7 linked regions of the Xenopus tropicalis genome follow. The protein of the gene in region 5 interacts with the protein of the main gene of each other region in a pairwise test. Links are inferred from orthologs where the notes say so. Each region holds a gene or a part of one and is shown on either strand. Other genes may lie near its edges. The genes, in order: exosc8, ranbp3, bend3, trim23, morn4, hmmr and ssx2ip.

What was found.
Region 1: the proteins of morn4 (region 5) and exosc8 interact in binary tests that used the Homo sapiens proteins (3 or more experiments, as listed by UniProt). The two-hybrid records come from large-scale screens. The link is inferred for Xenopus tropicalis from reciprocal best matches to the Homo sapiens genes MORN4 and EXOSC8.
Region 2: the proteins of morn4 (region 5) and ranbp3 interact in a two-hybrid assay, tested with the Homo sapiens proteins (2 studies listed by BioGRID). The two-hybrid records come from large-scale screens. The link is inferred for Xenopus tropicalis from reciprocal best matches to the Homo sapiens genes MORN4 and RANBP3.
Region 3: the proteins of morn4 (region 5) and bend3 interact in binary tests that used the Homo sapiens proteins (3 or more experiments, as listed by UniProt). The two-hybrid records come from large-scale screens. The link is inferred for Xenopus tropicalis from reciprocal best matches to the Homo sapiens genes MORN4 and BEND3.
Region 4: the proteins of morn4 (region 5) and trim23 interact in binary tests that used the Homo sapiens proteins (3 or more experiments, as listed by UniProt). The two-hybrid records come from large-scale screens. The link is inferred for Xenopus tropicalis from reciprocal best matches to the Homo sapiens genes MORN4 and TRIM23.
Region 6: the proteins of morn4 (region 5) and hmmr interact in binary tests that used the Homo sapiens proteins (3 or more experiments, as listed by UniProt). The two-hybrid records come from large-scale screens. The link is inferred for Xenopus tropicalis from reciprocal best matches to the Homo sapiens genes MORN4 and HMMR.
Region 7: the proteins of morn4 (region 5) and ssx2ip interact in binary tests that used the Homo sapiens proteins (3 or more experiments, as listed by UniProt). The two-hybrid records come from large-scale screens. The link is inferred for Xenopus tropicalis from reciprocal best matches to the Homo sapiens genes MORN4 and SSX2IP.

Annotation. Positions count from the first base shown.
Region 1 is NC_030678.2:151,678,664-151,682,163, forward strand, and holds part of exosc8 (exosome complex component RRP43), read right to left. Parts: intron 3,333-3,500; coding exon 3,227-3,332; intron 2,509-3,226; coding exon 2,463-2,508; intron 1,491-2,462; coding exon 1,394-1,490; intron 1-1,393. UniProt on the Homo sapiens protein: Non-catalytic component of the RNA exosome complex which has 3'->5' exoribonuclease activity and participates in a multitude of cellular RNA processing and degradation events.
Region 2 is NC_030677.2:101,763,115-101,766,614, forward strand, and holds part of ranbp3 (ran-binding protein 3), read right to left. Parts: intron 3,168-3,500; coding exon 3,048-3,167; intron 2,093-3,047; coding exon 1,989-2,092; intron 884-1,988; coding exon 805-883; intron 1-804. UniProt on the Homo sapiens protein: Acts as a cofactor for XPO1/CRM1-mediated nuclear export, perhaps as export complex scaffolding protein. Bound to XPO1/CRM1, stabilizes the XPO1/CRM1-cargo interaction. In the absence of Ran-bound GTP prevents binding of XPO1/CRM1 to the nuclear pore complex.
Region 3 is NC_030681.2:79,023,987-79,028,024, forward strand, and holds the start of bend3 (BEN domain-containing protein 3), read left to right. Parts: upstream 1-1,238; 5' UTR 1,239-1,415; intron 1,416-4,038. UniProt on the Homo sapiens protein: Transcriptional repressor which associates with the NoRC (nucleolar remodeling complex) complex and plays a key role in repressing rDNA transcription.
Region 4 is NC_030677.2:187,798,319-187,801,294, reverse strand, and holds part of trim23 (E3 ubiquitin-protein ligase TRIM23), read right to left. Parts: intron 1,389-2,976; coding exon 1,264-1,388; intron 862-1,263; coding exon 682-861; 3' UTR 1-681.
Region 5 is NC_030683.2:33,184,897-33,188,396, forward strand, and holds part of morn4 (MORN repeat-containing protein 4), read right to left. Parts: intron 958-3,500; coding exon 848-957; intron 1-847. UniProt on the Homo sapiens protein: Plays a role in promoting axonal degeneration following neuronal injury by toxic insult or trauma.
Region 6 is NC_030679.2:25,070,368-25,074,584, forward strand, and holds the start of hmmr (hyaluronan mediated motility receptor), read left to right. Parts: upstream 1-1,417; 5' UTR 1,418-1,552; coding exon 1,553-1,598; intron 1,599-3,089; coding exon 3,090-3,188; intron 3,189-3,969; coding exon 3,970-4,052; intron 4,053-4,217. UniProt on the Homo sapiens protein: Receptor for hyaluronic acid (HA). Involved in cell motility. When hyaluronan binds to HMMR, the phosphorylation of a number of proteins, including PTK2/FAK1 occurs.
Region 7 is NC_030680.2:77,489,901-77,494,028, reverse strand, and holds the start of ssx2ip (afadin- and alpha-actinin-binding protein), read right to left. Parts: upstream 2,801-4,128; 5' UTR 2,642-2,800; intron 1-2,641. UniProt on the Homo sapiens protein: Belongs to an adhesion system, which plays a role in the organization of homotypic, interneuronal and heterotypic cell-cell adherens junctions (AJs).

The sequences.
Region 1 (3,500 bases), on a different chromosome or scaffold from region 5:
TGTGGCGAGTTCAAGCTTCGCTGTTTGATCATTTTGCCTCATGTTTTTTTCCCTATCCACTCCCACCAGAATGGCCTGGTCTAGGAAAGGACACTTTTGATTTCACTTTAGGATGTGCCCTTACATTAATGTGCAATATTTAGCACCACAACATATGTAGCTTGTAGTAAATACACAGTTCACCACATTAAAGGAGAACTAACTTTTATCTAAAGGAGGAAGGGAGAAACATTGTATATTATATTTTGTATGAGCCAAAGACAGCCACAGCCCTTTAGCAGGGAAGATCTGTGCCCCCAGTAGCCCCCATCTTCTTTTCTGCTGATTCCCAGCACATGCTCTGTGCTGCTGTCACTTACCTGAGCTTAGGGACCCACTCACACTATACTGTATATATAGAATATAAACTGCGGCTGAACTATAAAGGAAGCAGACCTCAAGGGGGACATGACCACAGGGTTTGCTTTGTCTGTAGCCTAGAGATCCCACCCCCAGCCACTCATTTAAATATTTATGCAGGACCACAAGAGCATGCCGGGCCCCCGCCCCCCCACATTTTTTTTCTTTTGAGAAGGGGGGCCACTGCTGAATATAAGTATAACAATATAAGACTGATTAGTATACAATAAAAATTATTAGTATGTCATCTCAGAAACTAGTGCAATTACCATCAGCTTATATTACAGACAAACCTCATTTTCTGCTTGATAATTTAGCTGCTCAGAGCACACTGAGCATGTGCAGTGTCACTGACACTTCTAACAAAATCAAAGATGTAGGAGCTTCTGTGCATAACTTTAAAGGGATCATTATAGAGATGCTGAACCTTTAGGCTGGTGCAATAAGTTCAATACATATAATTTGGCATTTCTAGCTATATTCATTTTTATGGTTTAGTTCTACTTTAAAGGTAAACTAAAGCTTAACATAGAAGTAGGGTAAAAATGTTGTACATTATGTTTGGGGGTTTGTACCAGCCCAAGGCAACCCCAGCCCTTTAGCAGGGAAGATCTGTGTCTCATAAAATGCCATTTTTTTTTCTGCTGATACACTGAACATGTAACTTCCTTATAATTTAATAATCAGCCCTGTAGCACCAGGTTATATGACAGACAAACCTTATAATTTGCAACAACCGCTAACTGGAAAAGTTCAATAGGGAGGTTTTGGACAGCCAGACCTAGATAATGGAATGGATTGCATAAGCAATGCAAAAACGTCAAACTGAGCCAGTCTGCTCTGGGGGTATATTTGGTATTAACATGAATCTCAGACATAATAATAAACAAGTGATTCCCACTGAGGTTTAGTGGCAACAGGACTTGCAACAGCTGTACAGCACTTCATTCTTACCCTGTACCCTCAAAGACTGTTTCACTGAACAATGACTTACCATTCTGTAAAGCAGCAACCAAAGCACACATGCAAGTATCAAGAAGGTTTCCATCGTAATCGAGACATATGAGATCACAGTACAGAACCCATGCTAGCTAGAGAGGGGAAAGAACAAAAATAAGTCAAAGGGGAACTATACATTTAATATTAAAGTATAACCAATAGCTCATTTATAGTCCACTAGGTCACCTTTCAAAAAATTAAACTAAATTGGCATATACATATCAGTATATAATGCCCTTTATAAATTTTACCTTACATGTAAACCCTACATTTTCCTACCATGTATATAAGTTGGACACAACTCCCCCACCCACACCGCATCATTTGTATTACATATATCCCTCTGTTTGCCAGCACCATCAATTTTCCTAAAACAAATAGCAGCTTTCACCCAGCTGCAATTTTCCCTCTGGCAAATCATCAGTGACATTTATATCTGTAAACAGCATGTGTGCTGCAAAGTTCATAAAATCAAAAATGCAGGCTTACACAGGCAGAACTTAAAAAACAATTCTGCGTGTTTCTCCAGCAGAATGTACAGCTAGAGCAGAGTTTCTATGGAAACTGGTGAGTGCAGGGCCCCCGCTGGCCACATCTCCTGCCACGCACCCTAACCCCCCCCCCCCCCCCGCCGCAGGGGCCCCTAACGTCCTCCCCTGAGCATGCCTAAGTGAAATGCGTCAGTGGTTTTTTCCCGGTGTCCCGGCTGCCCAGTCCAACCCTGATTAAGATTAGGACTGTACCAAATCCACAATTTCTGGATTTCGACAAATACCGCATTCTCCAAACAAGAATCAGCTGAATACCAAACCAAATCCATCTAATTTGCCTATGCGTATTTAAGAAAAATAACAACAGTGCATTAATTGTGACTTTCTCTAAGTGTTTCGGAACAGCTGAACACCTAGAATTTGGCTGAATCCAAATCCTGCATCCTGATTTGGGGCATCCATTCCCATACAGATATGTAATAATGCAATGGCCGTTTGCCCCTGCAAGCATCACCAAAATACATTCAATAACTATTAAAAACCAAACGCCTGTTTGTATCACTTGATCCATACCTTGCCATGTGCGATGCACAAGTCTTCTTTCAGGAGCATCTGGGAACTGAACACATGTTAAAGATTACATGGACAATTGTTTCATCTCTTGTTTTTCCTGTTTCAGTATTGCTTGTATTAATAATGAAAACCAGCTACAACAGGCAATATACACTCAATACTCTTGTTTGGTGGGTCACCAAATGAACAAATCTTTGGCCAATTGGCCACCCAAGTGGTAAATAAAAAGAGGGGTGATCTAGCCATGTGGCCCTTGCAGAGCCTTTTTCCACAGGTTTTCTCTGGTGCCTGTGATTCATGTCGGAGACTTTCCTTATTGATATATCTACCATAAGTCACGAATAAGTCAGGCTACAACCTGACGTGGGAAAAGTTTATATCTTCAGTAAGACTAATTATGACACATCCTATAATACTGATACTGACAAATTTCAATTATACAATTGAGTTAGTAAAATAAGAACCCCCAACAAAAGCAATTGTGGGCTCTTATACCCCTATACCCTCATTGTTTAGGTTTAGATCCATAGGTCACACTGGGCTGGGGGCAGCCCAATTATCTGACAGAGTACAATTTAAATCTGTACCCCACCCAGTTGGGGCACTGTGCTGCCCTTAGCCCAGTATGACTGAGGATGACAGTCTGCACAGAAGATGCCAAAGTGGTTATTGCAGGGCTGGGGGTTACTAATGGTTTTTTATATTATTATTTAGTGACACAGGAACATGATCATCACTTTGTTCACAAACAACCATCATCTTACTTGTCAATAACATCTGCTATGAACTGACTGGCAACTTGAGCCTCTTCCCCTGGGGGACCAGGCCGAAACTGAGAGGAGCACAAGGGTGTAAGATCCACATTTGGAACTGGAAATGGAAAAAAGAGATATCTCTGTCAGCACAAAAGAAAAATTCCCTTAAAAGATAACTATAAGCTGCAGAATAACTGTGCTTAATACAGGACAATACTTATACTGGTATAGCTCTATGACATCTCTGTAAAGGCTGCCACAAACTTCCCTATCACCCCCAGTC
Region 2 (3,500 bases), on a different chromosome or scaffold from region 5:
GAAGTAAATGGTGGCCTTCTGCCATAATGGTACTTACAAGAACCAACTGTGGCTATATTAAAAGCATAATTCTATAAAAGCCTATAGAATAGGATAACCAAGGTAAATTAGACACCTGTCAAGATCTCTTTTTGAGACCATGGTTAATAAGAAGTTGGTCCTCTCCCTTTGCTATTGCTAGGAAAACTTTTCACTAGATCAGTACTGTCTAACTTTTCATACAGTGTCAGGTTATTTACTATATTACATGTTTGTATGACATTATGATTTATAATCAGGCCCCAAATAGATCAGGGTCTTAAGGGTACTTGGGACCAAAAAAAATATCTGCACTGATTACTGATAGAAATGGCTTCAATTAAGCCACAAGGGTTTTTTTCAGGGTAGTCATTTTACAAACTCTGCAGGGAAATTGTAATACTGAAACAAGAAAGCAGCTTCCCACAAACTAAGCAGCATTAAATTGCAAAATTGTCACTATACACTTTTTTTCAATTAAACCAGGGACCATAGCCCAAACCATTAATATTCCTTCAAACTTTAGAATTGTGTTGCATATTCAATCAGCTAGGGTTCAAACTGCCAAATGGCAAAGCTATTTATCACATTTCCAATGCTCCAGTGTCTACAACCTCCATTTTTTATTCCACCAAGCCTAGAAAATAACTCAGTGCTCTGCAGGCAAATGAATTAACACAACATTAAGTGCAAATATATTCCTAAGAAATGTTTGAGTGAACAATGACAAAAAGACAAAACAAAAAGCAAATATATACAATTAAAGTGTTTCTCTCTCAGCCTTACCAGAACTCGCTCAATCATATTCTGTCCAAATACAAACTTGTTGCTGGCTGCTTCAGATTTGTGCGTAGAGTTCTCTAGACTGCAAAGAAAAAAGCCCCAGTTAAACCTAAGAGCAACATGGCGCTAACAAGAATAAAAATATGTACAGACCAGGTTCTAGAGGGCTGTAATTTACAAGGCAATTGAAGAAAACAGCCGGCACAACAGGTCTTTGAGCAGCAGGATTATCCCTAGGGTTTTTTTTTTTTTTTTTAAATTTGTGATGTTTCGGGGGCAGGCCCCTTCATCACATGTCTGATGAAGGGGTCCGTCCCCAAAACATAAATTTGAAATAAAGATGCATGTTTTAAACTCTGTGTTTGAAATTCAGTGTGTATGTGAGGTGAGAGGATATGAAACAGAGTAAAAGGTGGCCATACATAAGATCCGCTCGTTTGGTGCAGCCACCACACAAGCAGATCTTCTCCCGATATGCCCACCTAAGGGCCAAACGATCAAAATACAACATTGGACACGGGCGGCATCGGACCAAGGACTGCATCAACAAGTCGATGCAGCAAATGGATTCTAAGGTGTCATGTATGTTAGTATATATAGTGCACATAGCAGTATCCATTTCTTTGCATTATGTTAAAATTATAGCATGCAAAATTTCCGGAACTTTAGACAAAGTTCCATTTAGATAAACCACAAGCAGTTCTTGATTTGGGTAAGTTTTCACATGTCACAGGAACAGTTACACTTAGTGAATTTGGTAGCTGGGTTACACTGCAGTATTAGAAACTCTTTACAGACAGATGATCAGCAAACACAACTAAGTTTCTGACAAATATAAATAGGTTCAACTATTTTAATACTGAAGAAACATAAGGTGGCCATACTTGAACTGATAAAAGCTGCTGACTCAATTACAGACTGAACTGGCAAAGTACTGGCCCATGTATGGGTCCCAATTCACCAAAATATCCATCAGGGAGATTTTATAAATAAATAAAAAAAATCTGCTAGATATGAAACTGCATTGGTGTGTTAATGTAGTCCTCTCCAATAAGACTCCCATGGACACCAATATAATTTATTCATCAGCCTAGCTCAAACGATTACATCCTCCCATTTAGGTCCAATGCATCGGTAGGCAAGTCAAGTAAAGATCCACCTCACTGAACAAGTAAAGGATACCTCACCTTGAGCTGATGTACTGTAGAAAGTAATTGGTCTGTGCTGGGGCATCCACACCTTGGGACCCCACTTTCTCATCATCAGGTGAATCTTTACTTTGCACTCCAAGCTGAAAACAGTTAACAACAAGGTGGTCATTCTAACAAAGTGTCCATTAAATAAGATAATATTTACATCTTTTGGCACATAATATAACTTTAGATATTGCATTACTGCATTTTGCAAACAACTATTTGTGAAAAGTTATTCAATGTAGGAAAAATAAATGAGATTGTAATCCCTTTCCTCTTTACTGAATGGAGTAATTTACACAAAAGCCAAAAATAAAGATATCTTTGGTCCAAGATTTATACACACACATTTATTTATAGAGAGGTTATATAACACAGGGCTATCCAACCAAAAGTCAGTGGGCCAGATGTGCCCTTCAAGAATTTTCTAAGGCCCCATTCTGCCCAAGAGCAACCAGACTTCTTACATAACCTACTTTAATTATAATCTGCATGCAAAATGTGAAATTTCAACCTACCCACTGCATGGTAGAAGCACCGATCCCCCAATCAACCACAAATAGCCTGCAAAATGTGGTGGTAGCACTGCTCCCTGCAGTTATTCTCTATGACAATACTAGTTTTCATGTGGCTTAAAGCATACTCAAACCCACCCCTATAAAAAGCTACAGCAGTGGAGATCAGCAAGACACCAAAGGTTTGGTACAAAAAAAAAAAAAAAAAAAAAAAAAAAAAAACCTAGCCGGCAGATTGCAACTTATAAAATATATTGGGTTTTTCATTGTTTAAAAAGTCCCACAAGTTCTTAACTTATCATTTGTTTGTCAAGATCTCATTCATTCTTTCAGCGGGACCATCATACCTGACTGGTATGGAATACAAGGTATCACTTGTGATATATATTACATATCTTTCTATCCACCTACCTCTTGAAACATCCAACCAATTTTATCATAAAATGTTGAGCTTTAATATCCATGATCCAAAAATAAATAAATCTGAAGCAAAAGTTTAAAAATTACACCGAAGGTCATAACACATAATATGACTTACTTTTACCCTGTCACGCACGTTCTGCCCAAAGACGAAGGACTGTTGTGTCTTCTGCTCACCCTGTTCTGAGTCTTCACTGGAGTCTTTTACAATACAAGACTCTGTCTGTGCATTGCTGTCCTGAAGTAAAAAAAAAAAAGTCTATGTATAAAAAGTGTGATATTTCTTTTATGCATGAACCTTTTACAATATATAGGATAGTTCTTTGATCTTCTTCAAAGTTCTCATTAACTGGTTAGAGGAAATGTTTAAACCCACACGTTTAATGTACTACTGAACATGCTCTAAAAATATTGCTTTAGAGAACACACTTTAAGAGCAATCTCATGGTATCCAGAACTGACACAGATCCTTATATGTTATACAGCACCACAACTTGAAACAAATGAATCCATCTGTCGACCTTCATAATGGTGTCCAGTTTTGAGTCCAATGGTTGCTGACCCGAATAGG
Region 3 (4,038 bases), on a different chromosome or scaffold from region 5:
TACACCAGCAGTGAATCCACTAAAGCTGTCCATACACACACCAATAATATTGTACAAAACCTTGTTTTGTGCTATATTCGGTGCGTGTATAACGGCTCGACGAGGCGACCAATATCACAAAAGGCTGCGGATATTGGTCGACTTGTCGATCGGCCGGGTTATAAGATTTTGAATGTGGCGCCCAAACAAAATCTACGTTCAGGGCTGAATCGGCAGAAGGAGGTAGAATTCCTATTGTTTCTATCTCCATATCTGAAGATTCAGCCCTAAATGTCAGTGGAGGGTGGGAACGATCTTTCAAAATTGCTACATGTATGGCCACCTTAAGTCTCACATTAGCTTTAGGTCAGTCTGTGTAAAGGTCCCCGTACACGGGCCGACTATAGCTGCTGATATCGGTCCCTTGGACCGATTCGGCAGCTAATCGGCCCATGTATGGGCAGAACAGAGCGGCCTGGCCGACCGATATCTGGCCTGAAATCGGGCAGATCTCGATCGGCCAGGTTAGAAAATCCGGTCGGATCGGGGACCGCATTGACTCACTGATGCGGTCCGCGAACCGACTGCCCCATAAGCTCAAATGTAATCCGATCGTTTGGCCCCAGGGCCAAACGAATGGATTATTTTTTTTTTAAGTTACTTGCTACCCGATATTGCCCACCCGTAGGTGGGGATATCGGGTGAAGATCCGCTCGCTTGGCGACATCGCCAAGCAAGCGGATCTTATAGTGTATGGGCACCTTAAGACCCATCTTTAGCCTCCCCAAACAAAAAAGTCACCCTCCTATATCCAGGCTGAAGTTGTTGGGCAACCCTAGTCACTCGCTTCCTATCTTGATGCTGAATGAGGCCATCTTTTTCTGGCTGCCCACTTTCCAGTCAGCAAGAGCAGTGAGTGAATATTTGGCGATCTTGCTAGAGATAATGGCGTGGCGGGGACTAGCCACAGTGACTGACTGAAATGGCTGTGGAAGTGTGAATAATAGCAGCAGCATTTCGGCCAACAAAGCTTAGGAAAGCAGCTCCACAGCAGCTGGAGGATAACTGTAGCTGAAGAGAAAGTTTGTGAGAGTGCAGGTAGCGGCACAGCAGGGTCCGTACCGGGAGCCCAGGGGAGCCGGTGTCCTTGCTCAGTGGAGAGAGGGCAGGGGGGCTGTTCCCACTGCAGCCTGTGTCTCCCTGTGTCCTTCTGCGGAAATGACACACACGGAGTCCCGTCACGTCACGCGAGAGCGCACGGACACGCAGCACACAAAGACACACAGGCTCTTCGTGGGGGAGAGGGGAAAACACGGCCCGGTGCTGAAGATGAAGCCGGCAGCGGAGGGATATTAGTTGCGTGGCCGCCGCGCCGCTTGGAAACTTTGTTGCAGCTGTAGTGGGGCTCCGGCATTGGGATCCCGACTTTCTCTCGGGTAAGTTCCCTCCCTCGGTGCCTGCGCGCTCCCGGCTACCCATTCTACACTCGCCTCTCAAACCCTCCGCATTCCCACGGCTTGCTTTGTCTCTTTAAGGGCTACTGGGCAAAGTATCTAGCCGACTAAGCAGTGTAACGCGATTGGTAGGTAGGGCAACTGCTTGGTTTCAAGGTCCTGCTCATCTAATCTGTGGGACCTTCACAAACTAGCAGAACAGCTTTCCACTTCCCACTTCCCCACTTCCCTGGCAGCCTCAGTGGGCCTTTAGAAGTAAGAAAGTGTGGGCATGACTTTCATTCAGCCTCCCAGTGTAGTGGGACAGCTAAGCCCTAGTTCTGTGCTATGGCCTGGGACAAGTGCCTGGATATTATTATGCTTTAATATATTTTGCAGGGGTTCCTTATTCACATCAGTTGCTTTTCCAGTATAGCTTACAGTTAGGAACACACCAAAGCAATTCATTCAGAATTCAGTGAAATCCTTGCACTTTTTGCTGGGCTTTGAAGTGGACAAAAAGCATCAGTCTGAACTAAATCAGAACACTTAGAAGCCCATTTATCAACAGTCTGATTTTCACAGTTTTGGAGGTTTTTGAAACCATGAATAAAGTAATTTCCACTAATGTTCAGTCACTTACATTACATTACATTAACATTTATTTATAAAGCGCCAACATATTCCGCAGCGCTGTACAATAAGTGGGTTACATACATTGGACATACAGAGTAACATATAAAGCAATCAATAACCGATACAAGAGGTGAAGAGAGCCCTGCCCAAAAGAGCTTAAAAGATCCAACTGAAAAAGTTCAAACTATATAAAATACAGAATGAAAACAAAATGAACATACAAACGACAAGTTGTTCCACAAATGTTTGTGACTTATAAACCAAAAAAAAAACCTCTAAAGACACAAATTAAAGATTTACAGTTTGCCCAGGACAACTCCCGTTGACTTTTAAATGACCTCGGCAGCTTTTAGATGGCAAAGTTTTGTAGTAAGTGGTCTTTGTGGTTTTTACACTTAACAATTCACAAAAAAAATTGTTGTTTTTTTTTTACACAAAAAAACACTAATCATGAAAAAAATAAAATATGAACGTTAATAAATGCCCCCCCTTAAGTCATATGCTTGTTTGCAGTCAATGTAATTTAAACATTTTCTTTGCAAATTTGGAAATGCAATTCTGATTCTGATTTGGTATTCGTCCAAATCTTTTGTGGATGATTTGGTATTTGGGCCAAATCCAAAAACGATGGATCAGAACATTCATACCTACAGTCTAAAGTCCAAACCTTGCACCCACAGAGTAAAAAGTCTCTTTTACCAGGAGCCGCTGCCAACAGTATGTTATTGGGGTGCGGGAGAAACTATACAGATACCTTTTTTATCTATTCTATGGTGAAACCACACTTTCATTATTTCTGATATTTTTAGCCTTTGCATAACACTAGCATAGTCAGTAGTAAACTGCCCCATGTTACATTGTCCTATCTTTTCTACCCTAGACAGACACACACTTGCTCTCACACACTATGGTCTGTATAATCAACACCCAACTAAGCCTATCTGTATGTTTGCTGTTTGTGGGCAGAAAGTAGAGTACCCAAAAGGAACCAGTACATGGGAAAAGCTTCCAAACTCTGTCAGGGTCAGAATAACGAAACATAGGACACTAGCACTGAAAGGCATCAGTTTTCTTTTTGTCTTGGGGGGCTAAGAACCTTTGCTGAAAGTGTCCCTGTGCAAAGGCATATTATACACTTCTGTGAAGTTCTTTACTTTATTAAGTTTTTAACTGGTGTAATATGATTGGTGTAAAATTGCTGAAGCTTACATTTATAGTTAAAGGAGAAGTAAAGGTACAATCACTGGGGGGTGCCAAAATGTTAGGCGCCCCTCAATGATTGTAATTGCTTACTTGATACCCCAGGCTGGTGCTCCTGTTAGGAGAAAACCGCACTAGCTGCGAACGAGCGATCCTCTTCCTTCTCTCATCTATCTTCTGAATCCCGGGGCTGGCACATGTGCAGTAGAGTGAAAAAGCTGAGTGTTTTGTTAAAGTTCAGCTTTTCACTCTACTGCTCATGCGCAGGCGGTGCAAAGACTGCAAAAAGAAAGATGATTGCTCTATTTCAGCTACCCCTTGCTGGTGCTGTTTTCTTCTAACAGAAGCACCAGCCTTGGGAATAAGGTAAGCGATTGCAATCGCTGGGGGGGTGCCTAACATTTTGGCACCCCCCAGTGATTGTACCTTTCCTGTTCCTTTAAGGGAGATGTGCTGGAGCCACTAGTGCTTCTCTCCACTGTGTGTCAGAAATGGTATTTTAAGTCCATGTCTCAAGCAATTTTGTAGTTGAAAGGGCTTTATACAAACTTTAACAAAGTCCATGACGTTATGACAGTTTTCATTTGGCTTGGAAATTACAAAGGATTTAGGTCAAGGGCAGGCTTGATTATCATGGGGTTGGTTTTACCTAACATGATGATCATACATTGAGATAGCACAGCCATTAAACAGGAGGCAACTTGTACCTTGATTATTTTAGCAACACATGGAAAAAGATGGTTCTGTGGAAGCTTGGGACAGAATCTGGCCTGTTGGTGTACAAATATAT
Region 4 (2,976 bases), on a different chromosome or scaffold from region 5:
GCAAAAAGAAAATAAAGCCGCTCAACTACTGTTTATGGTTTTAATGCACCTCGTAAGCTACGCTCCCGATTGCTTAAGCCACAAGCTAACGTTAATTCACTGCTACACCACTTACACTGAAACTGCCTCTTAAACACATACTAATACAGCTGGAGGCATGGATGGAAATGTCCTGCACACACACGCAGCTTATTTGGACTGGTCATGGGCCACCTTTAACCCATTCATTGCCAAGCTGCGCTGCAGCGGTGGTTAGTGGGTTAAATGTAACCTAAGATGTAACAATTCCACGGCTATGGTGGGAAAGGCTTTAATGTGTCGTTTTGTTTAATACTGTTACTGTAGTGTAAACATTAGACTGTTAAACATATTAAATAAGAGCAACAATTTCTTACCTAGCTAATTAGTTGTATTTCCAACCTTCACAGTCAGGCATCACAAAAACTACTAATTCCGGGGAGTTTTTGCACTAGCTATAGTAAAGTGACGTAAAGAGATATGTTTTCTAGCTGTCAATACAGTTATGTTTTCAAACTAGCCTTAACCAACCTGTGGGGCTCCCAGCAGGCCAACAATCACAGCGCCACGGGCTGGTTAGACATGTTTTAGGCTATTCTCAGACAGGCCACTGTAGTGTTAGCAACAGCTGCTCACACATAGATTACTTGCCCCTGGCTTCAGTTAGGCAACATCAAGCACACCGGCTGCCACCAGTTGCCTTGAGAGCCAGTCAAGACCATCATAGAGCCCCATACCACTCCTGGCATCACAGCCCTGGATGTACCAGCTGCGGCCACAGCACAGTTTGTGAAGACTCAGGAGCTCAGTCATTTCTTCCACTGAGAGGGCACCTGTTACATCCTGTGTAGAGAATCAGACAGAACAGTTCATTTAATGTGCAAATCACAAAATGCTAATGCACACCCTGCATGCAGAAGAATACATTTAAAACTATACTATATTAAAAATTGTGTGGTTTTTATTTATCCTTAGCCTGATTTATAGCAATATTGTAAAACTGCTCTTTGATTGGTTAAGCACATTGCACGGCAGGATTAAGGAGTGCCAAGCATGCTCTGGTAGAAGAGTAAATGAGCCTTAATTTTGGTGTTGGGCTCATAAGCAAATCACTTGGAGAAATTGAGGAATCGATGCAGCCCTGTCCGCCACTGACTTTTATGTAACTTTTATGCTGGGAGTGTAACCGCTTGAAGGCTGTGGCCTGCTAATGTTACTTTTACTTTTTCCATCTCATTTAGTTACCTGTTTATTGGCAAATATTAGCAGCAGAGCATCTCGCAGTTCCTTCTCAGTAAGCAGCTTTGAAAGTTCACTGTGTGCTTCAGTGACTCTCTCCCGGTGACTGCTATCGATTACAAACACCACGGCTGCACAGGGGACACAGACAGAGAGCATGAGGATTGGAGAGTCATGATCTTATGAACAAACACAGGCTTAAAAGGAGAAGGGAAGGCATTTTGTCCTTTTATTGCCAATAGATTAGCCACAAAAGTGCTAGCTAGAACGCTATATTTATTCTGCAGAAAGCTTTACCATACCTAAATAAACAGCCCTAGAAGCTTTCTCTATTTGTTCAAGATAGCAGCTGCCATTTTAGCTTGGTCTCAGCAACTTCCGTGCTGCAGCTCTAGCTGTTGGTAGTGCAGATTACACAGCACAGTTGGGAGGGGTAGAGAGGAAAGTTGGGAGGTGGAGGAGGAGAAGGGAGGGAGAGAGAGGAGCAAACTGAGCAGACTCAGGCCGTGCCCTGAAGGATTATTTTAAGCAAATGAAGTCTGATACCCGAAGAAAATATGTACATGAAAGAAGAAAATAAATCCTGTTTTTTTTTTTATAAAGGTCTCAATGCAGCTTTTCTGCGAGTGCTTATGGCTGTATTTACATAGACCTTTCTGATAAAGCTTACTTAGTTTTTACCTTTCCTTCTCCTTTAAATCTCAAGAACTAAATACAGGGTTATTTATATGTATGCCTACATGGAAATGCTACTCAGGGGAAGAGTAAAGGGATCCTCAGGGCAATACCGGTGCCTCAATGTGTAAAAAGAGGACTAATCTGAAGCCCCTCCGTTTGAGAACTACTCCTTTACCAGCCATGCGTGACAAAACTGGCCTTTAACAACAATGTTCAGACATCCCTGATGTACATGCCACAAATAGTTACCCACTTATAATTATTCCCTATTCCTGCTGTGTCAGCCCTGCTGTGTTAACCCTAAAACCAGCCATAATGATCCAGTTTGGTTTTGCCTTCACTGATTCAGGGATACTAGATGGCAGAGCCTGTATCAGTACATGTGCCTTTGTCAATACATAAAAAAATTAAATATAACTAAGGCAACCGTAACTTACAATGGAAACTAGGCCTCATACCCATAAACGTGTTCCACTACATTTGCCACTGATGTGCACTGCCCCAAATGTATTAAAGGGGCAGTTCACCTTTAAGTTAACCTTTAGTTATAGAACAGTCAATTCTAAGCAACTTTTAAATTGGTCTTCATTATTCATTATTTCAATAGTTTTTCAATGATGTGCCTTCTTTGCCTTATTTCTCTAACTCTTTCCAACTTTGAAAAAAAACTATTGCTCTTTGGGGCTAGAATTTTATCATTGCTGTTTTTACTTTGTATTACTTACCTTTCTGTTTAGGTCCTCTCCTACAAATATATTACTCTTTCATTCAAACCACTCCCTATTTGTTAAGGTAATTTGAACCCTAGCAACCAGATAACTGTGGAAATTCTGGAGAGCTGCTGAACGAAAATCTAGAATATTCATAAACTACAAGAAATGAAAAATGTGACCAATTGCAAATTGCCTCAGAATATTACTCTCATACATCATATTAAAAGTTTACTCAAAGGCAAACAACCGCTTTAAATGATCTTACTCATCCCTATAGGTTTGGAATAATGTACAGGAAGATGAACAGTGAATGCAGCAAACACTAATC
Region 5 (3,500 bases):
GTGTTGTCTGAAGACTCCATGACCATAGCCATCCAATATTGGCGTTAAGCTTTGCGTACAGAAATTTCTCAGGATTTGTTGAATCTCTTGATAATATTATGTATGTAGATGATGAAATTCACAAATTCTTTGCAATATACTATTCTTAAACTGTTGCAATATTTGGCCATCCCCATCTTTACTTCTGAGAGACCCAGCCTCTCTGGTAAGCTTTTATTTAGTACTATACAACTGTATGTGTTATTGGCATCAAATTCAAAATGACATGTATTTTCCAGAAAACAATAAGATATCTCAGTTTCAACATTTGATGTTGACTTTGTACTCTTTGTAATTAAATATGGGGGTTTAAAAGATTTGCAGATCATTTCAATCACTTTTTTGAAAATGGGATTGTATCACATTTGTCTAAGATGAAAAAGTTATGCAACAAAAAATACACTTTTATCTAAAAAAAATAGCTGTAAATTTCACTTTTAAAGTTCTGAAAGTTCTGCAATTATTTGACATGAAAATATCACATATTTAATAGCTGAGATAAGTGAAAATAAAATTATTTTGTACATAAACTGACATTTTCACCATTTCCCTCTTCAGATATCAGACCCTTAAGTGCTGGTGTATGTCTGGATTTGCTGAGAAAGCTTTTTATGTCTATGAGAAATGCAAAGATCAAAAGCTACTGTTATATTTAAGCAAGAACTACGCCATTTTCCATGGTAATTATGTCACCAGAGGGCACTGTGATATTAGAGCCTTAAATATGTATTTTCCTACACTGGCTTCACATCATACAAATAAACAGAAGAATGCAGATGGATAGGATTGGCCAAAGATTTCTACTTACCATAACCTTCAACCCGACCCCCTTTAAATTCTCCCTCAAATTTCATGTTATCGTAGCGGGTGAAAACACCAGTGCCTTGAAATTTTCCTTGAACAAACTCCCCTTCGTACCTGAAAAGTGTACACATAAATATGTCAGTTCTAGAGTCTGAAACATAGAGCTGTAAGAATTACAACTTTTGCTACAAAAGCAGGAAGAAGATCGTTCCATGGTGATTGCTCAGAAGTACTTGGGGCCTGTGCAGTTTTCTGCTAACAGAAATGACAACCCCGGGGTATCATGTAAGGGTTATAATTACTTGGATGGTGCCTAACATTTGGCACCCCCACAGTGATTTAACCCTTCCGCCCTTTTATTTTCTTGCCCATTATATCATATACAGTCATGGCCAAAATTGTTGGCACCCCAGAAGTTTTTCCAGAAAATCAAGTATTTCTCACAGAAAAGTATTGCAGTAACACATGTTTTGCTATACACATGTTTATTCCCTTTGTGTGTATTGGAACAGAACAAAAAAGGGAGGAAAAAAAAAGCAAATTGAACATAATGTTACACAAAACTCCAAAAATGGGCCGGACAAAATTATTTGGCACCCTTTCAAAATTGTGGATAAATAAGATTGTTTCAAACATATGATGCTCCTTTAAAAATCACACCTGAAAGCAGATAAAAAGGAGAAAAGTTCACTTAGTCTTTGCATTGTGTGTCTGTGTGCGCCACACTAAGGGGCTGATTTACTAACCCACGAACGGGTCAAAATGAGTCCGATTGCGTTTTTTTCGTAAAGATCGGTATTTTGCGATTTTTTCGTATTTTTTGCGATTTTTTCGGCGTCTTTACGAATTTTTCGTTACCAATACGATTTTTGCGTAAAAACGCGAGTTTTTCGTAGCCATTACGAAAGTTGCGTAAAATCTTGCGATTTTTCGTAGCGTTAAAACTTGCGCGAAACTTCGCACCTTTTAAGTTTTAACGCTACGAAAAAGGCGCAACTTTTCGTGAAAAAAAAAGAAGTTTGCAACCCATGGCACTGTAGCTAATCTTCCTGGGCGTGGACAGAAGAGAAAAATTGATGAAAGGTTGCAACGCAGGATAGTCCGGATGGTGGATAAGCAGCCCCAAACAAGTTTCAAAGAAATTCAAGCTGTCCTGCAGGCTCAGGGGGCATCAGTGTCAGCGCAAACTATCCATCGACATTTAAATGAAATGAAATGCTATGGCAGGAGACCCAAGAGGACCCCACTGCTGACACAGAGACATAACAAAGCAAGACTACAGTTAGCCAAAATGTACTTGAGTAAGCCACAATCCTTCTGGGAAAACGTCTTATGGACAGATGAGACCAAGATAGAGCTATTTGGTAAAGAACATTCTACTGTTTACCGAAAACAGAATGAGGCCTACAAAGAAAAGAACACAGTACCTACAGTGAAATATGGTGGAGGTTCAATTATGTTTTGGGGCTGTTTTTCTGCCTCTGGCACTGGGTGCCTTGAATGTGTGCAAGGCATCATGAAATCCGAGGATTACCAAAGGATTTTGGGTCGCACTGTAGAGCCCAGTGTCAGAAATCTGGGTTTGCATCCGAGATCTTGGGTCTTCCAGCAGGACAATGACTCCAAACATACGTCAAAAAGCACCCAGAAATGGATGGCAACAAAGTGCTGGAGAGTTCTGAAGTGGCCAGCAATGAGTCCAGATCTAAATCCCATTGAACATCTGTGGAGAGATCTTAAATAAGAGAGACCTGGAGCAGTTTGCAAAGGAAGAGTGGTTGAAAATTCCTGGTGAGAGGTGTAAGAAGCTTATTGTTGGTTATAGGAAGCAACTGATTTCAGTTATTTTTTCCAACGGGTGTGCAACCAAATACTAAGTTAAGGGTGCCAATAATTTTGTCCAGCCCATTTTTGGAGTTTTGTGTAACATTATGTCCAATTTGCTTTTTTTCCTCCCTTTTTTTTTCTGTTCCAATACACACAAAAGAGAATAAATATGTGTATAGCAAAACATGTGTTACTGCAATACTTTTCTGTGAGAAATACTTGATTTTCTGGAAAAACTTCTGGGGTGCCAACAATTTGGGCCATGACTGTATACACCTTGGCTTAAGCAATTTTTAAGAGTTCTTTCTGTGTCAATAAGAACAAGTACCTTAAAGCTTGTATGTTTGTACTGGACATAACTACAGCAATGGGAACTAATATTGCTATTTTAGCTTGCTGACAGATGGATTTTCTTGCTTTGCTAACAATGAGTCACTTGTTTTAGCTGTCACTGAGGGAGACCATTCATTTTTCCTCTATATTTATCAGACAGAAATGACTACTTTTAGTTCATCTTGAGTTACAGAGAGAGGGACATTGGGTCTCATAACACCGGGCATGTGTGGGATAGGCTTTGTAAACACAGGTAACTACCAAACTACAATGACAATAAAGTGTAACTATTAGTCACTACAAGAGCTTCAGTGTCCCATGGTACTGATCATTCAATTATCCTGTCTAATGGAGTAAAGTAACTGCTGTCATCTATAATGAGAGCATTAGCTTTAAAGGGGAAGTTCACCTTTACATGAACTTTTAGTGTGTACATTAACCTATTCTTGTCACCTTCTATTCTGACCTTCATTAATTTGTTTGTATTTTTAAAATAT
Region 6 (4,217 bases), on a different chromosome or scaffold from region 5:
TCAGCCCAAAGGAACTAGGCCACGAAACAATTACCTGCCTGTTGATTTGCTTACTTTACTATCTGCATTGTGCAGGGCTGTCTCATTGGTGCCCCATGGACTGGATATAGCCCTCCAAGACATTATGTTTTATTGCCCCCTACATGCCCAAGAATTCCACAACCCTTTATAGTACTCTGCCCTATGCAAGGAAAAACTTGGACAGCACTGGTATAGTGTAACAAGGTGTGCTGTATACTCTGAATCTAAGAGATCACTACAAACCCAGATCTAGTCATTTGGTGTGACCCTCCTGCCCACCCTTCACATTGTACGCTGCCACTGCTGCAGCATTAACTGGTGTAGGACTAAACATTAAGAACAAAGTTTCTATTAGTCTAGTGCAGGGGTGCCCAGACTTTTTCCTGTGGTGATTGACTTGACTCCTCCCCGCATACGTACGCGCATACCCAATAAACCCCGCACTTCCGCATTTCGCGGCTTCGACGTGGTCCACTAGGAATCCATGGGGTATCGACCGGTGGAACGCGATCAACGTTTTGGCCTCCCCTGGTCTAGTGTGTGGGCTTTTGTGCGAAAATGATGTCAAATTTCTATTTATAAATTTGAAAGGTGTGATTTGTTCTGTAATGGGGTTACTGTCAGTTTTAGTTTTTTTTTTTTACTTAGATTATATTCCCTTTAATATTTAAATAGGCTGTTCACCATTATATTAGATTTTAGAATGGTGCCTAAAAAAGTCTTCACTTTTTAGTTATGCACAATCATGGAGTACTTTAGCAATCAAAATACAAGATGAAGAGTAGAGGGCCAGAAAAAATATACAAATGCAGTACAAATATATTAGTAAATACTAAGCCTGTATATCATATATCAGGGTATGATACATAAAAGTTACTGGGTTTTTTTTAATAATTTTTGCACATACATGGCATCAAAACCTACTGCACTTAAGACAATGGGACTGTAAAAAAATACTTCTAGCACCTTAAGTATGTCCTTTCCCTTCACAACCAGTGAAATATCCCGACTTCCCAATTTGCACTGGACTTCTTTGGCAAGGGTCCCATCGGGTACTTTGACTTCAATGAACACCTCTTCCATGGTCTGATACCAGCAACCCCATGGTGTTTGACAGGGGACCACCCCACTCCTCTCATCGAAGTGAGCAGACATTGCCTGAAACTGAAGCGCTTGGCAGCCTATGCCTCATACCAGAACCAAATATGGCCGCCGCATTCATGAGCAATGCATCGGTTTGCCAGAATTAAAAATGTCGCTAAGGGGTAAAATGAGCATGCGTAGAACAACTCCCACAATCCTTTTAGCGCGCCACGGCCTAGTTTTATTGGGTGGTCCCGAAAGCTGTATTCTGATTGGCTGCTTCGCCTGGAGCTTGTCGGGAGCTCGTTCCTTATTTGATGATAAAGCAGTGACTGAATTTTAAAGCAGCGAAAAGAAGGAATTTGTTATTTCGTGCATTGTTGCGTAGCTGTCAGTGATTTCGGCTCTGAGCAGTAGGGAAGGTGGTCGGGCGCTGGCTTCAGCCAAAATGTCTTTTCCCAAGGCTCCTCTGAAGAGATTTAATGAGAATATTGGTAAGTTTCAATCTAAGCGTGTATTTGGCAAGGTTGTTTCGCAGGAGTGTTCTGTGACTCATGTAAGTTCCGTTCGCTTCAATACGCGATATTCATGTACATTTAGTCTGACTGCAATTATTTTTAGACCATTAGATACTTAAACCATGGAGACCTATGGGCTTATGTAATAAAGGGCGCTAACTTTGCCCAGGAGCAGTAACCCATAGCAACTAACCCTTGAGGTTCTATAGGGACTGTTTTCATCTATATGCAGCTTTCCTTTGCTTTAGGAACCCCAGACAAATATTGGAAAGTAAAGGGGTGCTTGGAACCTAAACCATTAGAATTTTCCTTCTGTGAAGCTTGCAGGGTCAGAATTATCTTAAATTATACTGGGTTTAGGCTTTACAGATATGGGCATTTGCTTATAATATATGATTTTAAAATAAAGACCGCAGATGCAGGTGTATACCTATAAGTGGGGGTGCCAGGTTCTTAAAAGAAAGCAAGATAAGAGAATTAAAGTACTCACAAAATCATTCAAAATACAAATATGTACGTTCACTGAAACCCTCTCATGCAAAAATATTTCTCCAAAGTAATGTAGCCGAGTATATAATAGTCATATCCCAATTATTAACGGTCACTGTTTCAATTTCTCCTATATACCATTATAGCTAATGCTCAATGTTACCTTACATTATCTTGCATAGTGCTCCTGGTTAGGTTTATATTGTCTATAGCAGCATTTTGCTGTTATACAGCATTACTTTTGTTTAGTTTAATTGGTATATCAGTCGTTTGTACCTGTTTATTAGAAAAATTGCTTGTTTGGCTACCTCATGGCTGGCATGAAGGAAGTCAGAAGAAGGTATTTTTCAAAATACACTGCTGCTGCTTCAACCGTCAAATTTATTTCCAGCTGCAATTTTTTTTTTTTTTTTGCACATTCCTTAAATACTTGTAATACCATTGCTCACAGTGGTTTTCCACTTACTGCACTGACCTTTCTCATAAACCAGTTTATATCAATCAATATGAAGTCAACTTTGAATGTGTATCCTTGCCAAAAGCAATAAAGCTTTACCCATTTTGCTATAGCTGTTTTTGTGCTTGGCATTAGATCCACTGTCATATTTGTCAAACTGCGCTGACAAGTTGCACGGGCTGCTATAGCCCAGTAATTCCCAGCCCTGACAGACATATTGTCTCTGTAAATGGCTCCTTTTTATCTAGGTGTTCATGCTCTTTTTTAGTGTAGTCAACCAGGTGCTGGTTTAGTAGCCCAGTATTCAGTATGCTGCAACTACATGCAATTTGTTTGAAGTTTTTTTGTTAAAACTGTTTGATATAGTGATCCAGTTTATGTAGTTTGCCTTCCCTCTGTTGTTGTACTAAAGATAGATTGGGTAATGAAGCATTTAGGTCTGCTAAAAGTCTGTGCCCTTGTTTTACTATGTATGTCTCATATGTTTTCTATTTACCTATTATTATTCTATATATTTGAAGGATGTGCCCCTGCGCCTGGATCTTATGATGTGAAGAATTACGAGGGCCTCAAAGGACCTGTATCTTTTGATAAATCCCAGAGATTTCGTCCTAAAAAAGGTTTGTGCATATTTTAGACACTTTTCTTGAGTATTAAAGAGATACGATATCAACTTTCTAAGGAGGAAAAGCTATGCCGTTTCTTTTTGCAGAGCCTGCAAATCAGCCCTATACTACTAATGCACAATTTATTTTTATTTTACATAATGTTTTTGGGTGATGTTGCTGTAAACCTCTTGACTTAAAGCAAGCAGCAGTACAGTACCTGTAAGTTTACTAGTCTGCAGTCTAAGCACCATACAAGCCCCACCCTTGTTAACCTTTGCCATGTGTTTCTTCATGGGGGTTGTATAAACTATGGCTAAGCAGCACAGACCTTATGCAGTGGGTTCTTATATTCTTTGCATGCGCTAGAGCTCCTACAGCTGTGATCTGCTCCCGATTTAACAATTTCTTTTTGAATAACAATTTCTTTTAAAGGGAAATGTCCTATTCAAATACATGAACCAAAAAGTTTTACAGTAAACATTTGATTTCAGAAAGTAATATGTGGTTTTTGATCCAGTACAAATGAGACTATTGTTACATGGAGAAACCCCCACCACTGCCATCCATACTATATTCAAGAACCACTGACCAGCTAGGCATCTGCCTGTCATCGGGAGATCTTAGCCCAAAAATAGATGTCAACAAAAAAAAAAACACAATTTGTGACTTGGCATGTCAATAATGGGACAACTTCTATTAATTATCACTTTTTAAACTAAAATCAACCAAGAAACCCCCCACAATATGCTATTCTGCAACTTTTTTTTTTTTTTCTAAAATGTGATCTTTCTAGATTCCAGCAATGAAAGCCAACTCATGGATAAAGAAGAGGAATTATCTCCAGTTCGTCTACGAAAACATTCTCTTGGGTCTACTGTAAGTGTTTCATGTTCATGAGTTTTAAAATATGTTTGTTTTAAATCCACTACAACCTCTAAAAGTGAGACTAAAGTCTTATCTGGCATGCTATGTAATGAGGACTAACTTGTATTTTATTCTGATGCATTCTGACTATGCCATCTTTATCCCACTATCCTACTG
Region 7 (4,128 bases), on a different chromosome or scaffold from region 5:
GGTAAAGAGTCCTTTCTACACCAAAGTACCAATCTGCAGAGCTTTCCTAAAGTTATTGGTTTTTATGACATTTCAGAAAATTGCCTAAAAATGTTGCAATTTGTCACATTTATCTCACACAATTTCTTGCGTACAAAGGCAAATCACCCCCAATAGGAACACCAGAGGCCTACTGAACAGTTTGATGCCCAATATGCATAGATATACCAAAGTCTGCGGTATGTACTGAACCCTAAATGAAAATAGCGCATAAGGATTTCTCGCCTGCCAGCTCAGCTTTTGCACACAGAGCCCCGTCAGTGTATTATGTGCAGTAACCCCCCCCTAACTATACAGTGACCCCCAGAAAACCATATATTTTTGGAAAGTACACATTCTGATGAATTCAAAATAGGTAAAGTTATTTTTGTACACCAAAGTTACACCTGGCAAAGCTACGCTAAAAACAGATCAGGAACACTTATATAGGGATAAAATGTGATAAAACCACAAAAATTGTGCAAATCAGTGAAACAACAAAATAAGTTACATGACAGTGTAATTAGTGGCCAGAATATCTGATCCAATAGTTACGCTGTCAAAATAAACAGTTTTTAGGTAAAAGAAAATAAAAACAAAGTGGTAATATGAAAAAAAAAAAAAAAAAAAAGCAAAACAAAAAAAAAACCAAAGTGTTTGTGTATACATGTGTGTACATGTGTAAAAGTTGTGTGATAGTGTGTAAGTGTGTATATGAGTGTAAATAAGTGTATAAAAGTGTGAAAAATGAAAAAAAATAAATAAAATAAAATAAAAAAATGCTAAAATGTGTGCTGTAAGTGTGTGTAAATGTATGTAAGTGTGTATAAATGTATGTAAATGTGTGTATAAGTGTGTAAAAGTGTGTAAATGCAATAAAAAAAAAAAGTCCTTACCTGTTCCTGAAGACCGATCGCCTCCTTCGTCATTTGGGCCGGCGCTGGGGGAGAGGGAGGAAGCAGGAAGCAGCAGATGCGATGCGATCGCATCTGCTGCTTCCTGGAGGGTCCTGCGAGCGATCGGTTCGCAGGACCCTGATGACAGCCCCCCTGGCACATTGCCCAGGGGGGCTGTCATTGTTAGAAGCCCTCTGCAGCGGCGGCACATGCCGCCGCTGCAGAGGGCAGCGCTTAAACGCCAACGACGTATGAGACACGTCGTTGGCGTTTAAGCCCTTTTACTGCCAGCACGTATGCCATACGTGCTTGGCAGTAAAAGAGTTAATAGGTTTTACGTAGACATGACATTAAATAACACTGCTGTGTTTACTATTTCAGTATCCGATGTTCAAAAGTTAAATCTAAAAGTAAAAAGGTTTTTACCTTTGTTTTTTTTTTTTTATTATTTTCTGCTAAATATCTTTATTAGCTAGTCTTTTAAAGTGCCCAAGTGCTGTCTAGCTCTCTGTATATAGTGCATATAATAAGGACTATCTGGATCAAATTCTGGTACACAGAAAGAGGTTGTCTAATTAGGGAGCTGATATTTTTATTGCAACATGGAGTACGTTATATTCATACTTTATCATGCATGCAGCACACAATGCATAACTTACATCACCATGCACCACAGCTTATAAAAAACGGGTTTCTGCTCAACTGAGTAAACGGCCCACAAACACTAACCTGCATATGGGTTAAAAGTGGTTGTTCACCTTTAAATAACTTTTAGTATGTTACAGAATGCCCTATTCTTAGCAGCCTTGCATTTGGTCTTTATTATTCATTTGTTATAGTTAAATATCTACCTTTTGCCCGTACATATTTCCGGCTTTGAAATGGGTGTCACTGACCCCAGGGGCCAAAAACTTTTGCTCTGTGAGGCAACAATTGTATTGTTATTGTTACTGTTTATTCCTTATCTTTATATTTAGTCCCTCTCCTATTCATATTCCAGTCTCTCATTCTAACCACTGCCTGGTTACAAAAGGTAAACAAGACCCTAGCAACCAGACTGCTGCTAAAATATCAAAAAAGGAAAGCTGCTGAAAAAGTGAAATAACTGAAAAAACACACAAGAAAGAATAAGTGAAAAGCAATTGCAAATTGTCTCAGAATACTATTAGTGAGAATGTGGACCCTTTAAGAAAGCAACAGAACATGAACTTTGAAAGCACTCCTTCTGTACTATATTAAATATCCTTCTGATCCCCATATATTTATTGCGAGACGAAATCAGATGATATTTATACACAGAGCCCAAGTTTACTGGAGTGCAAGTTTTGTATAGGGTACCACGCCCGCAGGCAACGTTTAAATGAATGGGCAATCGCCTAGCAGTTGGGAAAAACCAATGCGAACGTTCCCAGCAGCAAGTGACCCCCCTCCCCCGCCCCCATGGCGCAGGGAGTTGGAAGAATTACAGGCAAGCTGCTCTCGCTATTGCTAAGTCATTTACAAAGTCGATCTTTTGCCAACAATACAAAAAAAAAAATAATAAAGCATAAATAGGTACATAGCTTTCAGGCTAATAGAATACACGTAAATAAAACTAAAACTAAATGTTAAGGGAAAAAAAAGAAAGAAACCTCCACAGCAGGTGCAACCTTTTTGTTCAGATTTAACATATATTTGGGTATATCAGTAAATATACCATGAACCCCCTTTCAACAAACATAGCATACCGCCAAAAAGTCCAGCTTTTCCCGGGTCAGTCCCGCTTTTCTCAAAACAGCCCACAATCCTGTATCGCGGTTTAAAAGTCCCGCAGCGCTGTTAGCGTCTAGCTCCTTGACTCCTTCTGGACAGCGAACCCAGACATCGGAAATCTCATCTCGCGAGAGTGTGACTACAGGTATATAAGTACGGTGACGCTTTGCGTAGCCTCCTAGGGGCAGTGACGAGCTGTGGGTATGGGATTTGGTGCAGCACAAGGTGATGGACCTAGTGAGCAGTCTATCCTGGGCAGAGCAGTCTGTGGGATTCGCTCAGCATTTTCTTTGTATCTGTTTGCAGATTCTACCTTTGTCAGGGGATGTTTTATGTCAGCTGATGTCAGAAGCTCAGCTCTTAAGACAGTGATTGTTTTTACTACTGATTAACTTATACCTCTGCCATTGATCTTTTATTTCTAGGTGGGTGCAGGCAATAGCTGCATAGAAACTACGGTCTCCGCTCCTTATAGTAGTATACAAAAAGAGGTTGTGGGAGCACTCCAAGGCTAAATAAAGTATACAAATACAATGGAAGTGCAACTGATCTGGCCAAATTAACTACAAACATACAAAAAAATACTGTATGCACTAGCATGAAACTAACAGACAATTTACTTATGAAACGGGACCAGGGAATGTGCATTGATCAATCCTTTTTTTTTTTTGTATCCTTATAGTAGTATTTTTTTTTTTTTTTTTTTTAATTCTGCTCAAACTTTTCACCTATGCCAGGAAAAAGAGAAAAACTTGGTTATTGACTAAAGCCATGAATTTGTGAAAGTGCTACGTGTTGCTAATAGCATTTAATTCTGTTATTCACCTGGAAATTAACTTGCTAAGATGTTGAGAATGCTAATCTAAAGCAATTTGCAATTGGTATCATTTTTTTTATATGCAGTTTTTAAATTATTTAGGGTTTTTGTGAGGCGTCACTCCAGTTTGGAGTTTAGGCAGCTATCTGGTTGCTAGAGGTGCCAGAGAGGCATGAATAGAGGAGGGCCAGTTTGAAAGAAGAAGAAGGCAAGTAATAACTGCTTCTTTAAAGGAGAAGGAAGGGCAAAACCTATAAAGGATACCCTTCAATAGTCCTACTACTGTTAATTAAAAACGCTTTACTTTTGGCTCTATTAATGCAAGAATAACAGTTTTACTTACAGCAAACGTTAGCATTGCTTTAGTGAAAGGCACCGCCATCTTTGAAATGGGATGCCCACTTCCTTTCCTTCACCGCCCTATACTGTGCATGCGCATCATTCAATCCCCCCTGAGCGCTGTTCGGATAGCAACGCTATGTGCTCATAGTGGGAGTGTCAGAGAGTCCGTGGGAAGAGGAGCGCTCCTGCTTGTGCACGCTCACAGAAGATATGAAAGCGCATGCGCTTACTAAAGAGCTGGTCTTAATCTTGGTGCAGGAGCATTATGGGAATGGGATGGGAATCTTGGGAATCTTCTTTACC